Linked DNA regions of Mus musculus: all the other regions are reported to be linked to region 2. The links are microRNA targets in miRTarBase. Many come from high-throughput screens and were not tested one by one. Region 2 holds a microRNA gene; each other region holds the end of a gene's coding sequence.
What was found. Region 2 holds the annotated microRNA mmu-miR-133b-3p (UUUGGUCCCCUUCAACCAGCUA, at 1,057-1,078, opposite strand). A microRNA usually pairs through its seed, bases 2 to 8, with sites in the 3' UTR of a target mRNA and lowers its output. Matches are read on the target gene's strand: a 7mer-m8 pairs with bases 2 to 8, a 7mer-A1 pairs with bases 2 to 7 and ends in A, and an 8mer does both.

Region 1: the mRNA of Foxl2 is a reported target of mmu-miR-133b-3p. Seed matches in the 3' UTR shown: 8mer at 1,555-1,562.
Region 3: the mRNA of Acer1 is a reported target of mmu-miR-133b-3p. Seed matches in the 3' UTR shown: 7mer-A1 at 1,340-1,346.
Region 4: the mRNA of Gdf3 is a reported target of mmu-miR-133b-3p. Seed matches in the 3' UTR shown: 8mer at 2,515-2,522.

What each region holds. Positions count from the first base shown.
Region 1 is chr9:98,956,462-98,959,619 of GRCm38, forward strand. Foxl2 (forkhead box L2) reads left to right here. Exons shown (of 1, transcript NM_012020.2): 1 at 1-1,665. The coding sequence ends at 327. Among named protein-coding and RNA genes, the nearest start is that of Foxl2, 2.4 kb to the left of the region's middle.
Region 2 is chr1:20,680,754-20,683,911 of GRCm38, reverse strand. Mir133b (microRNA 133b) reads right to left here and starts at 1,143; the gene lies at 1,025-1,143. Lincmd1 (long intergenic non-protein coding RNA of muscle differentiation 1) reads right to left here. Exons shown (of 3, transcript NR_131249.1): 3 at 954-1,199.
Region 3 is chr17:56,952,548-56,955,705 of GRCm38, forward strand. Acer1 (alkaline ceramidase 1) reads right to left here. Exons shown (of 6, transcript NM_175731.4): 5 at 2,949-3,086; 6 at 943-2,700. The coding sequence ends at 2,532. Among named protein-coding and RNA genes, the nearest start is that of Mllt1, 19 kb to the left of the region's middle.
Region 4 is chr6:122,603,474-122,606,631 of GRCm38, forward strand. It overlaps Gdf3 (growth differentiation factor 3), which reads right to left. Exons shown (of 2, transcript NM_008108.5): 2 at 1,930-3,158. The coding sequence ends at 2,833. Among named protein-coding and RNA genes, the nearest start is that of Apobec1, 2.6 kb to the left of the region's middle.

The DNA of each region.
Region 1 (3,158 bases), not on the chromosome of region 2:
AACTCCTACAACGGCCTGGGGGGCCCTCCTGCCGCACCACCGCCGCCGCCACCGCCGCCGCACCCTCACCCGCACCCTCACGCACATCATCTGCACGCGGCCGCTGCGCCCCCGCCAGCCCCGCCACACCACGGGGCTGCCGCGCCTCCCCCGGGTCAGCTCAGTCCCGCCAGCCCGGCCACCGCCGCGCCCCCGGCACCCGCGCCCACGAGCGCGCCCGGCCTGCAGTTCGCCTGCGCCCGGCAACCCGAGCTCGCCATGATGCATTGCTCATACTGGGACCACGACAGCAAGACGGGCGCGCTGCACTCGCGTCTGGATCTCTGAGTGCCAACGCGCGCGGGAGCGGTCCCCCACCCCTATCCCGGGAGTGGAGGAGCCGAGCTCGGGTCGCAGCCGCAGCAGCCAGCCTGACAGCGCGCACTCCGGGACAGCTTCTGGATGCAGAGCCCTCGAGCGGTCTGCCCTTCCTCGGTCCGCCCCGCTCCTGCGACTCCGCTTTGTCGCCTCCGCTGCTCCTCCGGTGCTCTTCCCCGCCGCGGCCTCTGCTTTCCCGTGCTGCTGGCCGGAGGCCGCCCACTCCGTGCTTTCCGCGGGCCTCCTCTCCTCACCGCAGGGAGTGAGTCCCCGGCCGAGGTGCGGTCGAAGTGTCTGAGACGCAGCTTACCTCTTGGCCCTCTCTTCCAGGTCGGTGGACTCAAGCTCGATTTTATTTTTAATTCCCCACCCCGACTGTCTGCGACTAGAAGCGCTAGGCTGCTGGGGGAAGAGGGACCCACACTACCGGAGAATGGAAAGAACGTGTCTGGTCGCTCTGCGATCCCTCCTGGAACTGATCAGAAGCCGCTTGCAGAGGGGCCCACTGGGCGGGGCGGGGGTTGAGCCCCAGGCTGGAGCAGGGACAGCCTCGTTCCGCGGCCTGCAACCGAGTTCTCATCCCCCGCTCCTTGTGAGGCCGTGGTGCCTCCGCTCCGCAGAGCACCGCATAGGGCACCTCCAGGCCAGGTCTTTATGAAAAAGATTGGTGAGGCTTTTGAAAATATTAAAAAATACTTTTTAAAGAAAAAAAGAAAGAGGGAGAGAATAAAACATTCATGGGGGGGTGGGGAGGAGAAATGTAATGGCCTTGGAGTTTGCTAAAACCAAACAACAAAATCAAAAGTTTTGGTTTTCTTCATCGACCCTGCTGGGAAATTTGTGTAAGAATTCCCGTGGTGACTTCATTAGGCTGTGTTCAGAGGGAGGAGAAAATAACTAGCTAAAATAAGGTTTCCACTACAAATTAGGAATTTCTTTTCTATTTAAAAGTTGAACTCAAAACAAATTTCCCCGGATCTTCCGATTCTGCCCCGGATGCCAGAAGAGATCTCTGCCTGGCTGGTACACACCGCCCAGATGACACTCCTATCCCTGATTTTTGTTTTTCCAATGTCTTGTTTCTTCCACCTTCGGAAGGAGAAATGTGAAACTCGTCATGGCCGGCCCACACGGGCTTGTGGCCCCAGCCGGCTGGCCCGAAATCCCGTGACCTGGTGGTTGAGTAATGTCTTTCGGGGACCAAATTTTCTAGAGGGAACTAGAGCACTTTTGTTGTGTTTGTACGTGTGTGAGGGCGTCCCTTGTCAATTCCCAAATAAATTTTTTTGTTTTTTGTTTTTCTTTTAACACGGACTTGCATTGTTTCTTTTACACCGTAGTTCAGCAGCTAGCTAGCTAAGAGAGCGAGCCTTTCAAGAAAAATTGTGTTCTTTTAAAAAGTGACACAAACAAGAGTTGAGGACAACCCGGGTGGCAGGCGCTTTGGGCTGTCGCTGCTGCTTTGTTTTTCAGGAGATTGTTTGTTTTTCTGTGTCATCGTTTGTCTGTTGCGGCTGTTTCACACCGGCAAAGATACCCGGCCCTCGCTAGAGGCTACTGTAGGCAAGGTTTGTTCTCGTTTTGCGTTCGTGTAAGTTTATATTTTGCCTCTTACATAATTGTACTAGGTGCGTACGCTGTGTTTCCACTGCTATCCTCATACGTCTAAGAATTTTTTTGTCAAAAATATATGTAACATTTTTTAATATAAAATCCAGATTTCAGAAACACCTTGGAAGCTGCAAGCTTTTCTACAGTGTAATCGGTGATTTGTCGTACCGTTGTTTTTAGCAATTGGCATTCATTTATCTTGAAATAAGTGTAGGAAACTTGGTGTTTCAGGTGGGACTTAGTGTACAATATGCTACGGAGGTGGGCTTTTGCTTTCTCTTTACTGAGCTCCATCAAATAACGAATTAAGACCCATGCTCTCAAGAAGATACAAAAGGTGTTTGACCTGGTTGCAGATGAAATCTCTCTGGTTGACTAGAGGTGGCTGGCCTTCAGTTTTCCAATGGGGTGACAGATATTGGATCCGGCAGTGAGTGGCTGAGGGTTCGTGCAACAGGAGTTTAGATCCCATGCATAACCATGAATCTGTCACCTGCCTCTCTCTCTACCTGGATAAGAGACAGGTCCAGAGGAACGAGCTGGGAGAAGCTAAGAGCTTAAGGGTGTGAACCTATGGGTCCTCATTTCAGCTAACCGAAGGTCTAACCTTAGGAATGTCAGGGTGATATCTAGATTATAATGTTGCTGGGATCAAGGGAAGCCTGTTCGGCTCAGAATGCACTCTCCTTCCCCCCCCCCCCCCCCCGCAAAGATCTCAGAAGGAGGCTACAGTGTAGAGGAGGTGCTGTGGATTCCGGAAGGTAGAAACTTCAGCCCACCCACTGGGGGTCGGCTGAAAGGAGAATCTCGGTTGTGGTGGAAAGGGAGAATCCCTCAGGCAAGAAGGTGTTTCTGTAGCCTGGTGTTAAGTCTCAAATGTACGGATCAGATCACTGTAGTCTGTGCCTGGCGTGAGTGTTTCTAGTGTCTGTTATTTAATGGAGACAGGGTATAAGCTGTGTATCTGTCATTCACCTGCAGGGAGGATGGATGACATATATTTAGGATATTGTACTAGCTATATGACTAATATTAGGGGGTGCTTGCCAGAACCCAGTACTTGTTGCATTCATACCTCGTGCTGATCTAAACAGCTGTGCCCTGGGTGTGTGTTTCTGGCTTGCTGAAGGATAACAAAGTATGTGCACCCCTCACTTCATCTGACAGAGGCTCCCTGTTCCGGGGGACTA
Region 2 (3,158 bases):
TGCTGCATGCTAGTAGAATCAATAGTGGGAATATAAGTATACCAAAATTAATGTAAAATTTATTTTGGAAATATTATCTTTTAAAATTTGTTTTTCCTTCTCTGGGAGCCATGCCTCTGGGCATGACACCATCATTGTCATACAGCAAAACACACATTCTCTGAGTGATTATGGCTGGTTATTTACAGACATTGTCCTCTCAAAATCTTAGAACAATAGTGTGATCCAGGTCACTCTTTCCATTTACTGGTGAAGAAGCAACTAATGTTTTTACGGAGGTAACTGAGGCTATTTGACTGAGCGCACATCATAGCTAATCGACAAGATGGGTAGGATTCAAACAGGAAGCCAAGGTTTTACCTTAATTACTGGTATCAGCCACTGGGAGCTAGGCAACCTCTTTCTGTGTACTTTAGTCTCAGTGTACATAAAGTTCTCAGCTTCATGGAAAATGATGTAGAATGTCACGGCGAACTCAGTCAACTATATATACTCATATACATCCATATTCATAGATACTTATATATGTATATATATATATATGTATATATATATATGCAAGCATCCATACACACACACACACACACACACACACACACACACACACACACATATATATATATATATATGAATTATATCTTGGATTAAGCATGTTCTCGACTGCATTTCCATTGTACTGTGTTGTGTTTCCATGGTCAGTGGCCTTACTTATGCTTCTGTGTCCTTGTGAGCAGAAGACCTGTCTCCTATGTATCATATTCTGCCACTGACTGGTCTAAGGTTGGCTCAAGTTCCATCCTTAGCATCATTAGTGGGTGTGCATGGAAGATGTGTGCATGGCTCTAAATGTGGGTGATTTAGAAGGTGTGTGTGTGGCAGAGGATTCTGTGTGTTGAGCATGTGACCTGTGAACTTGGGCTTTCTCCTTTCTTCTTCCTTCTTGGGAACATAAGGCTATGATGGCAAAACCAGCATTACTTTTCATAAGCAAGGCTGTAGCAGCTATTTTCTCTTCTCTTCTCTTTCTCCAAATATTGAGCTTTGCCAGCCCTGCTGTAGCTGGTTGAAGGGGACCAAACCTCTCAGGAAGACGGACTTGGTTCCGTTTGACCAGCCAGAGCAGGGGGCCACTCCCTTTGGAGGTGACTGCAGCCTGAAGCTTGTGAAGTCCTTGGAGTTTGAGCACCACTTGTCCAAGCCTGTAACAGAGAGAACCACATTAGCATGAATCAACCCCAAAGAGAACATTATCCTGACTAACCTCTCACAGAGCTTGAAAGAAATCTCACAAAGTCGTATGCTTTTTAGTTTTTATTTATTTATTTTATTTAGCTCTTATTTTTTTTTCAAATTGGAACATTAGGCACGAAAATGGAATACAGTTATAGAATATGGAAAAAATAGACACTCTTTTCTTTTATATTCTAAAATAACCTTAACATTGTCAAGTATATTTGTATGCATATGTAAATGTACATTATATAACCCTCTATGAATGTATCATGTTTGCATTAAAAATGAAATATAAGTGGGTGGGGAATATACAGTAACTATGATACTGAGTTTCTTGTTTTCTTGTAATTTAGATGTTTTTCTTTATAGCTTTTCTCATTTATGCATGTTCTGAATCAATATATTTTAATATTATAAATATTTATCTGTGGCATTTTAATTTTACCTTACATGATATCTGTAAGGCTCATTCATATGAATATGGTAACTACAATTCACTAATTTACATTGTTTGACAGTTTTTTTATTATTTAAATATATTATATTCATTCCTTCTCCCAGTAATAGCTATCACAGTCCTTTGGTTTGAAAGAATGGGTGGAACTGACTTTAGTAGAGTCTATCGAGGGAAACAGAGGCATTTTTGGTTCTTGTAGATCATGAAGAAGTCTGGATTCCAGTATGTAAGAACTTACAAGTTGACCTTTTAAGCGAAAAGTAACATTTACCACCCTGACATACCCAGGAGTGGGGTCCCCAAACTCATGTACCCTGCTTTCCCAGTGATTCTGAGGTATCTAAAGTTTGAGAACCATTGAATAGAAGGGGTATCCTCTGCTTTCGGCTTGTTAGTAGTAAAGTGAGATCAAGTGTAGGTAAGAAGGAAAGGCTCCCCGAAAATATGGCTTGCTATCTCCATAAGGTATTGGCATAAGGAGAGGAAAGATGTAGGCCGAAAAGATAGTTGAGTGCTTGCAGAAAACCAACTTTCTCCTTTGGGGCTAGTTACTGGCTAACATGTTTTCTTCTTCTTGATAAATAGAAGTCATTGAGAAGAAAGTATGGCCAGGCAGTGGTGGCACACACCTAAAATTCCAGCACTTGGGAAGCAGAAGCAGATGGATCTTTGAGTTTGAGGCCAGCCTGTTCTACAGAGTGAGTTCCAGGACAGCCAACACTACACAGAGAAAGTCTGTCTCTAAAAACAAAACAAAATAAAACAAACAAAACCATCCTGAAATTTTCTGGGTTCAAAATCCACTGATGCATTCTTGATTTTATTTATTTATTTATTTATTTATTTATTTATTTATTTATTATTTATCTATTTATTAATTATTTATTTGATATTGAGAATTTGATACTGAGAAATATCATATAATGATGTTTGGTATTGAGGTGTTAAGTAGCATCTTGACAGGTCAGCATGTTTGTCTATACTGTGGAAAACATGCCTAGTTTGCCTCTTGTGAATTTTGATAGTAATGAAGGGTGTTCTAAGTTCCTAGGGTACACAGAGGAGACTAGCAAGGCTTGTAGGAGAGTCTGAGGGGCAATTATGCCTGCCTCTGAGGCCAAAACTTCACTTTTAACTCCATCTTGCCTAGAGAGTGTGCCCCATCACTCATCAACAAGAATTTATACTTATCTGTGAATGTGTTAAAATCCACTGGACACGTTTAGAAGTGAGGTAGCCAGGTGCCTGGCTTCTTCCAGATGGACTCTAGTTAGAGAGGCCTGTCTCGAATCATCAAGGTACCTCATACTTTAAAGCACCCAACAGGGCACTGCAGAAAAGGCAACTGGATAAAGGCACACCTATCATGTATGAATGTTGTGATGAGAGAAATTAGCATTACAAAATACAGTGTGACTCTAGGATAGTACTAAAGTTCCTCTGTGTCCTGGGCCACACCTCCTTGGTG
Region 3 (3,158 bases), not on the chromosome of region 2:
CCACATGATGGCTCACAACCACCTGTAATGAGATCTGATGACCTCTTTTGGTGTGTCTAATGACAGCTAAGGTGTACTCATATAGAATAAATAAATAAATCTTGAAAGAAAGAAAGAAGGAAAGAGAGAAAGAAAGAAAGAAAGAAAGAAAGAAAGAAAGAAAGAAAGAAAGAAAGAAAATAGACAGAAGGGACCTAGGAGGCCCAGGTTCCACCCCCCTCAAGGGGTCCAAAGAGCTCTCAGGAAGGATAGGTCTGACGCAAAGCCCAGGCTGTGTGTTCTTGGGTAAATCATTTACCTCCTCTGAGCCTTATCTATGATAGGAAAGTATTCTTGTGTGTTTGAAGTGCTTCATGCAGGGGGCTAGATGACATGCCCAGACAAATTGTGACACATGTCACAATCACATGGAGATGTAGAATGCTACCCACCTGTGAGTGGCCAGGCAAGGTAAAGCATGCTTGTCACCTCAGTACCCAGGAAGTTGAGGCTGGAAGACTGAGAGGTCTGGGACAGCCTGGGCTAAACAGAAACGCCCTGTCTTTAAACTTGGAACAGAGACACCTACTGCCTCGTGTCCTCCTTTCCCGGACAAGCTGTGAAACCCCTTCCCTGTTGCTTCAGATCCCGCCCCAGGCAGCGACAGCTAGCCTGTCTTTCTTCCGTTGTCCCATGCAGCCAAGGAACTGGAGGACTCACTGTTTCCAAGAAGGGCACACCCATCTTGCCATTTTCGAGGGAAGCTTCTCCCCTATGTCACCCTGTACACTAGCCCTTCCAACAATGTCTTCTTCGGACCATATATCAATGTCTCTGAGTGCTCGTGCAGTTAGCATCTGTCACCACTGCCAGAGGGTGGGTAGGGGACTCTATGTCTGCTGTCAGGCAAAGAGAGTGGCATCTTGTAAGGAGGAGTGAACTGAAAATAAGATCAGGATACTTCATTTGTGGGTTATTTTATTTTATGTATGTGAATGTTTGCCTGAATGTGTATCTGAGAACCATGTCTGTGAGGACCCATAGATGCCAGGAGAGGAGGTTGGATCTCCTGGGACTGCCACATGAGTTCTGGGACTCAAACCTGGGTCCTCTACAAGAGCTGCCAGTGCTCTTAATTGCTGAGCCTCCAGCTCCTTACTTGCATTTTTTTACATGTTAAAAACCTTTGTCTGCCGAGCGTGGTGGCACACGCCTTTAATCCCAGCACTTGAGAGGCAGAGGCAGGCAGATTTCTGAGTTCAAGGCCAGCCTGGTCTACAAAGTGAGTTCCAGGACAGCCAGAGCTATACAGAGAAACCCTGTCTCGAAAAACCAAAACCAACCAACCAAACAAACAAACTTTGGTCTATGCACCTGCCACACTGTGTGTGCTACTGCATGTGTGTGCAGGTCAGAAGACAATGTGTAGGAGTTGCCTTCTATTCTCTTTCTCATGCAAATTCTGGGGTTCAGATTCAGGTCATCATATTGAACTGCAAGCCATCAGAGCCATCTGAGCAACCCACACTTGCAATTTTAATTTGTGTAGGTGGATTAAGGGGGAGGTGGAATGAATGGATGGATATAAGGAGGGAGGTAGATGGAAGAAGGAGGGGAAAGAGAGAGGGAGAGAAGGTGGGTGGATGGATGGATGGATGGATGGATGGATGGATGGATGGATGGACGGGTGAATGGATGGATGGACAGGTGGATGAATGGATGGGTGGGTTGATGGATAGGTTGTTAAAATGGTGAATGGTTGATAAGTGGGTGGGTGGATATTTTCAAGGCTATTCCAAATACTTCACACGTGACCTAATTTTAATCAACAGAAGTCCCAGGAGGGAATGACATTTTATTTACAAACAGCATTTGAAACATCACATCCCTCAGGGCTATGCAAGCTGAATACTGTGGAGCAGAAAATCAAGCTTTGGCATGTCTAACTCTGTGTCCTTAGCCATCACGGAGACCCTTTCCCCAATACCCTATCCTCTAAGTGCCCCATGATGTTGCCCAGGTTAGCCCTCTATTATCCTCATTCATGGCTCTCATGTTCAACACTTTGCCCTGAGTGCATGTGGTGGTTCAAAGAGGTCTCTATACGAATATCTATCTGTAGGTGGTGGGGCCTGGAATGTTCTTTGGATACTCCCCAGTTTCCCAGAATACAGTCATGATCCAGTTGAATCTATAACACTCATAAACAGTCCCAGATGTGCGAGCTGACAGAGAGCAAGCATTATGCTTCAGGCAGGTGCTGTATCAGCCACACACCCATCTGTTCACCACATCCGTGGCCATGAAGAAGCTGTGGTCTCATAGGTGGACACAGGCCAGTCATCCCACACACCAGGCAGCCCCTGTCCCTCAGTCACCAAACTAGTACCCTGAGCCACAAGTAAATCTACCCTGTGCTGACGAGCAGGGCAAGGAGCATGGGCCGGGGGATGGGTGCTGCAAGTGTGCCCACTGAAAGCCTTGTCCTGCCCTGTATCCTCAGTACACAGGAGACTCGGTGGCTGGCCAGAGAGCAGAGACTACAGCAGAGCTCAGCAGTTCTTGTCATTCTCCTGGATCTCCACATAGGGTAGCCCGATGACCCAGCTGTCCCGGGGCCAGTAGTGGACTTTGAGGGTTTTATCTGGCATCTCATACTTTGCATCCACCAGGGCCATGGTCACGATACCATAAGGAAATGTGATGCTTATGAGGACGTGCCTGTGGTTAAGAGAGGGCAGGGTAAGAAATCGAGAGATGCCCCCAGCTCTACCCAGTCTTCTTAGGTTCTCACAGATGCTAACTTGGCTCTTTAGATCCAGGCAGCCAGTTGTAACCTCTCCCTACCACCTCTATATCCCAGGGTCTGGATCTTGTCCCTCTCCCACTCTTGCACCCCAGACACTTCTCTACTTGGAGTGCATCTGAACTCTGACTTGGGTTCTTGGGATCCAAGAGGGGTATTTTACCAAATGCTGTGCAGGTAGTAGAAGTGAATCCGCTGCCAGAAGCTGCAAAGTACACGGTCACTGATCCAGCTGGTCAGTGCAGCGGCCCATAAGACCACAGAAACCGCAATCAGATGCCGAAGATCATCATCCCTAATCCTGGGGACAAAGAGAGAGCCTGGGCTGGGGGTGGGTGGTGAGCTGCTGGATGGACAGACAGACAGATGGACA
Region 4 (3,158 bases), not on the chromosome of region 2:
CTCAGAAATCCACCTGCCTCTGCCTCCTGAGTGCTGGGATTAAAGGTGTGGGCCACCACACCAATATCCTTTCAACAAGGTTTTTACTATTTTTCTCTTCTTTTCTTCTTTTTTTCTCCTACTTTTTGAGACAAGATTTCTTTATGTGGCTCTGGCTGTCTATAACTCTCTATATAGACCACGCTAGCCTCAACTCAGAGTTCCACCTGCCTCTGCCTCCTGAGTGCTGGGATTAAAGGTGTGGGCCACCCCACCAATATCCTTTCAACAAGGTTTTTACTATTTTTCTCTCCTCTTCTTTTCTTTTCTTTTCTTCTTCTTTTCTCCTACTTTTTGAGACAAGATTTCTTTATGTGGCTCTGGCTGTCTATAACTCTCTATATAGACCACGCTAGCCTCAACTCAGAGTTCCACCTACCTCTGTCTCCCAAGTGCTGGGATTACAGATGTATAAAAAGAATGATTTTTGAACTAGGCGATAGTGGTGCACGCCTTTAATCCCAGCACATGGGAGGCAGAAGCAGGCGGATCTCTGAGTTCAAGACCAGCATAGCCTACTGAGAGAATTCCAGGATGGCCAGGACTACACAGAAACCCTGTCTCACATAAACAAAAAGTCCAGATGTGTGTGTGTGTGTGTGTGTGTGTGTGTGTGTGTGTGTGTACAGAAGAGAGTGTAGGACCCCTCAGAACCAAAGTGAGAGGTGTTTGCAGAACACCAGGCTTGTTACATAGTTGCTGGGTTCTGAACTCCAGTGCACAAAATTTAGCCACAGTCACCTCTTACCTGCTGAGCCTTCTCTCCAGCCTCCCTTTTAATAACTTTTATAGAAAGGTCCTGCTTTGCTTTACTATTGCTGTGTCAAACAAACAAACACAGCCTGGAGAAGAAAGGACTTCTTTCATCTTACACCCCAGAGAACAATTCATCACTGAGAGAAGTCAGAGCAGAAACTTAAAAGAGGAACAGGAAGCAGAAACTGAAGGGGAGAGACCATGGAGAAATGCTGAATACTGGCTTTTCCCTCATGGTTTGCTCAACCTGCTTTTCTTTCTTCTTTTCTTCCTTATTTTATTTATTTATTTATTTTATTTTTAGGTGTGTGTGTGTGTGTGTGTGTGAGATTTACTGGCACTAGAGTACATGGGAGCTGGGAACTGAACTCTGGTTTTCTGCAAGAGCAGCGCATGCTCTTAACTACTGAGCCATCTCTCTAGCCTCTCAGCTTTCTTCTTATACACCCCAGGTCCACCTGCTCAGGGGTAGCACTGCCCAGAGTGGGCTGGGCCCTCTCACATCAATCAACCATCAATAAGATGTCCTCAGACATAACCCGAATGCCGGTCTGATCAAGGCAATTCCCCATTGAGTCTCCCTGAGATAATAACTCTGGGCTGTGCCAAGCTGTCAGCTCTAGCTAATTAGAAGAAGAAAGAATTGGGCTGGAAAGACAGCTCAGTGGTTAAGAGCAATGGCTGCTCTCCCAGGGTCAGGTTCCAGCATCCACCTGGCAGCTCACAACTGTCTATAACTCCTGTTCCAAGGGATTTGACACCCTGTACAGACATATATACAGTCAAAACACCAATGCACATAAAATAGAATTATTTCTATATATAATTTTATAATACATATATTTATATATATAAATTATTTTTTAAAAAATAGGGGGCTGGAGAGATGGCTCAGAGGTTAAAAGCACTGACTGCTCTTCCAGAGGTCCTTAGTTCAATTCCCAGCAACCACATGGTAGGTTACAACCATCTATAATGGGATCTGATGCCCTCTTCTGGTGTGTCTGAAGACAGCTACAGTGTACTTATATACAAAAAATAAATAAATAATTCCTTTAAAAAAAGGATAGGAAAGTATCAAACACGTGTACACATAATCCAATATCTATTCAAACACCTTAACAAAATCTTGCTGTAATAATTCAGTTGAAGTAAATTTATTAAGAAAACCCCAGGAAGCCAGACGGTGGTGGCGCACACCTTTAATCCCAGCACTTGGGAGGCAGAGGCAGGCAGATTTCTGAGTTCGAGGCCAGCCTGGTCTACGGAGTGAGTTCCAGGACTGCCAGGATTACACAGAAAAAAGAACTGGCTCAGCAGTAAGAGCGCTGCCTGCTCTTGTGCAGGACCCACTTGAGCATCCACATGGAGGAGACGCATGATCACCTGTAACTTCAGGGGATCTGACTCCCTCTTCTGGCCGCCACGGGTTCCTGCATGTACACCGTGCACTTACACAAGCACCCACACATAAAACAAACAAGTGAACATTTTTAAAGCTCACGTAAATTTTTCTATGTTATATTTTCTCAAAATAATTTTAAAATCTTAAGATATACAATTGGATATAATATGGTACAGGGCAGGCCTTTAATTCTAGGATTCAGGAAGCAGAGGCAGTTTGATCTCTTGTGCGTTTGAGGTTAGCCTGGTCTACATAGTTATAGGACAGCCTGGTATAGAGACCATGTTTCCTGTTTCAAAAAAAAAAATTTTTTTTTTGGTCCTGGTGGCACACAGCTGTAATCCCAGCACACAGGAGGTAGAGGAAAGAGAATTGCCATGAGTTCAAGGCCAGCAAAGATGTATAATAAGACCTTGTTTCAAACAAGAACAAGAAGCCCAGCTACTATGCATAATGAGCACAAATTAAGTAAGCTCACCAAGGGGTCCATAGTCATACACAAATGTGTGTAATTGTGGGGCTCATGAACCATGATGACAGACATGTCCGATTCAAGAGAGCATAAGCCAAAGGTGGGGTGGTAGTTTTATTAAAGGATTTACCCTAAGCACACTCCTAGCCTAGTCCCGAGACTACCCACACCCACACTCATCGACTACCATGTCTTCATAATGTCGGAGAATGACGTTCTTATCACTATCCTGATAGAGCATGGAGATGGGCGAGAGCTTGGTGGGGACACAGACAGCCTTGGGGACCTTGGGGTCAGCCATATGCATCAGAGCCTGCATGAAAGCATAATTGGAACTATTTAAATACGTGGTCATTGAGAAGGGGCACTCTCCATGACAGTAATTTGCCATGAACCCCTTAGGGGCGATGACCCACTTGTGCCAACCCAGGTCCTGGAAGTTGATGAACAGCTGATGACGGTGGCAGAAGTTCCTACAGAAACCCT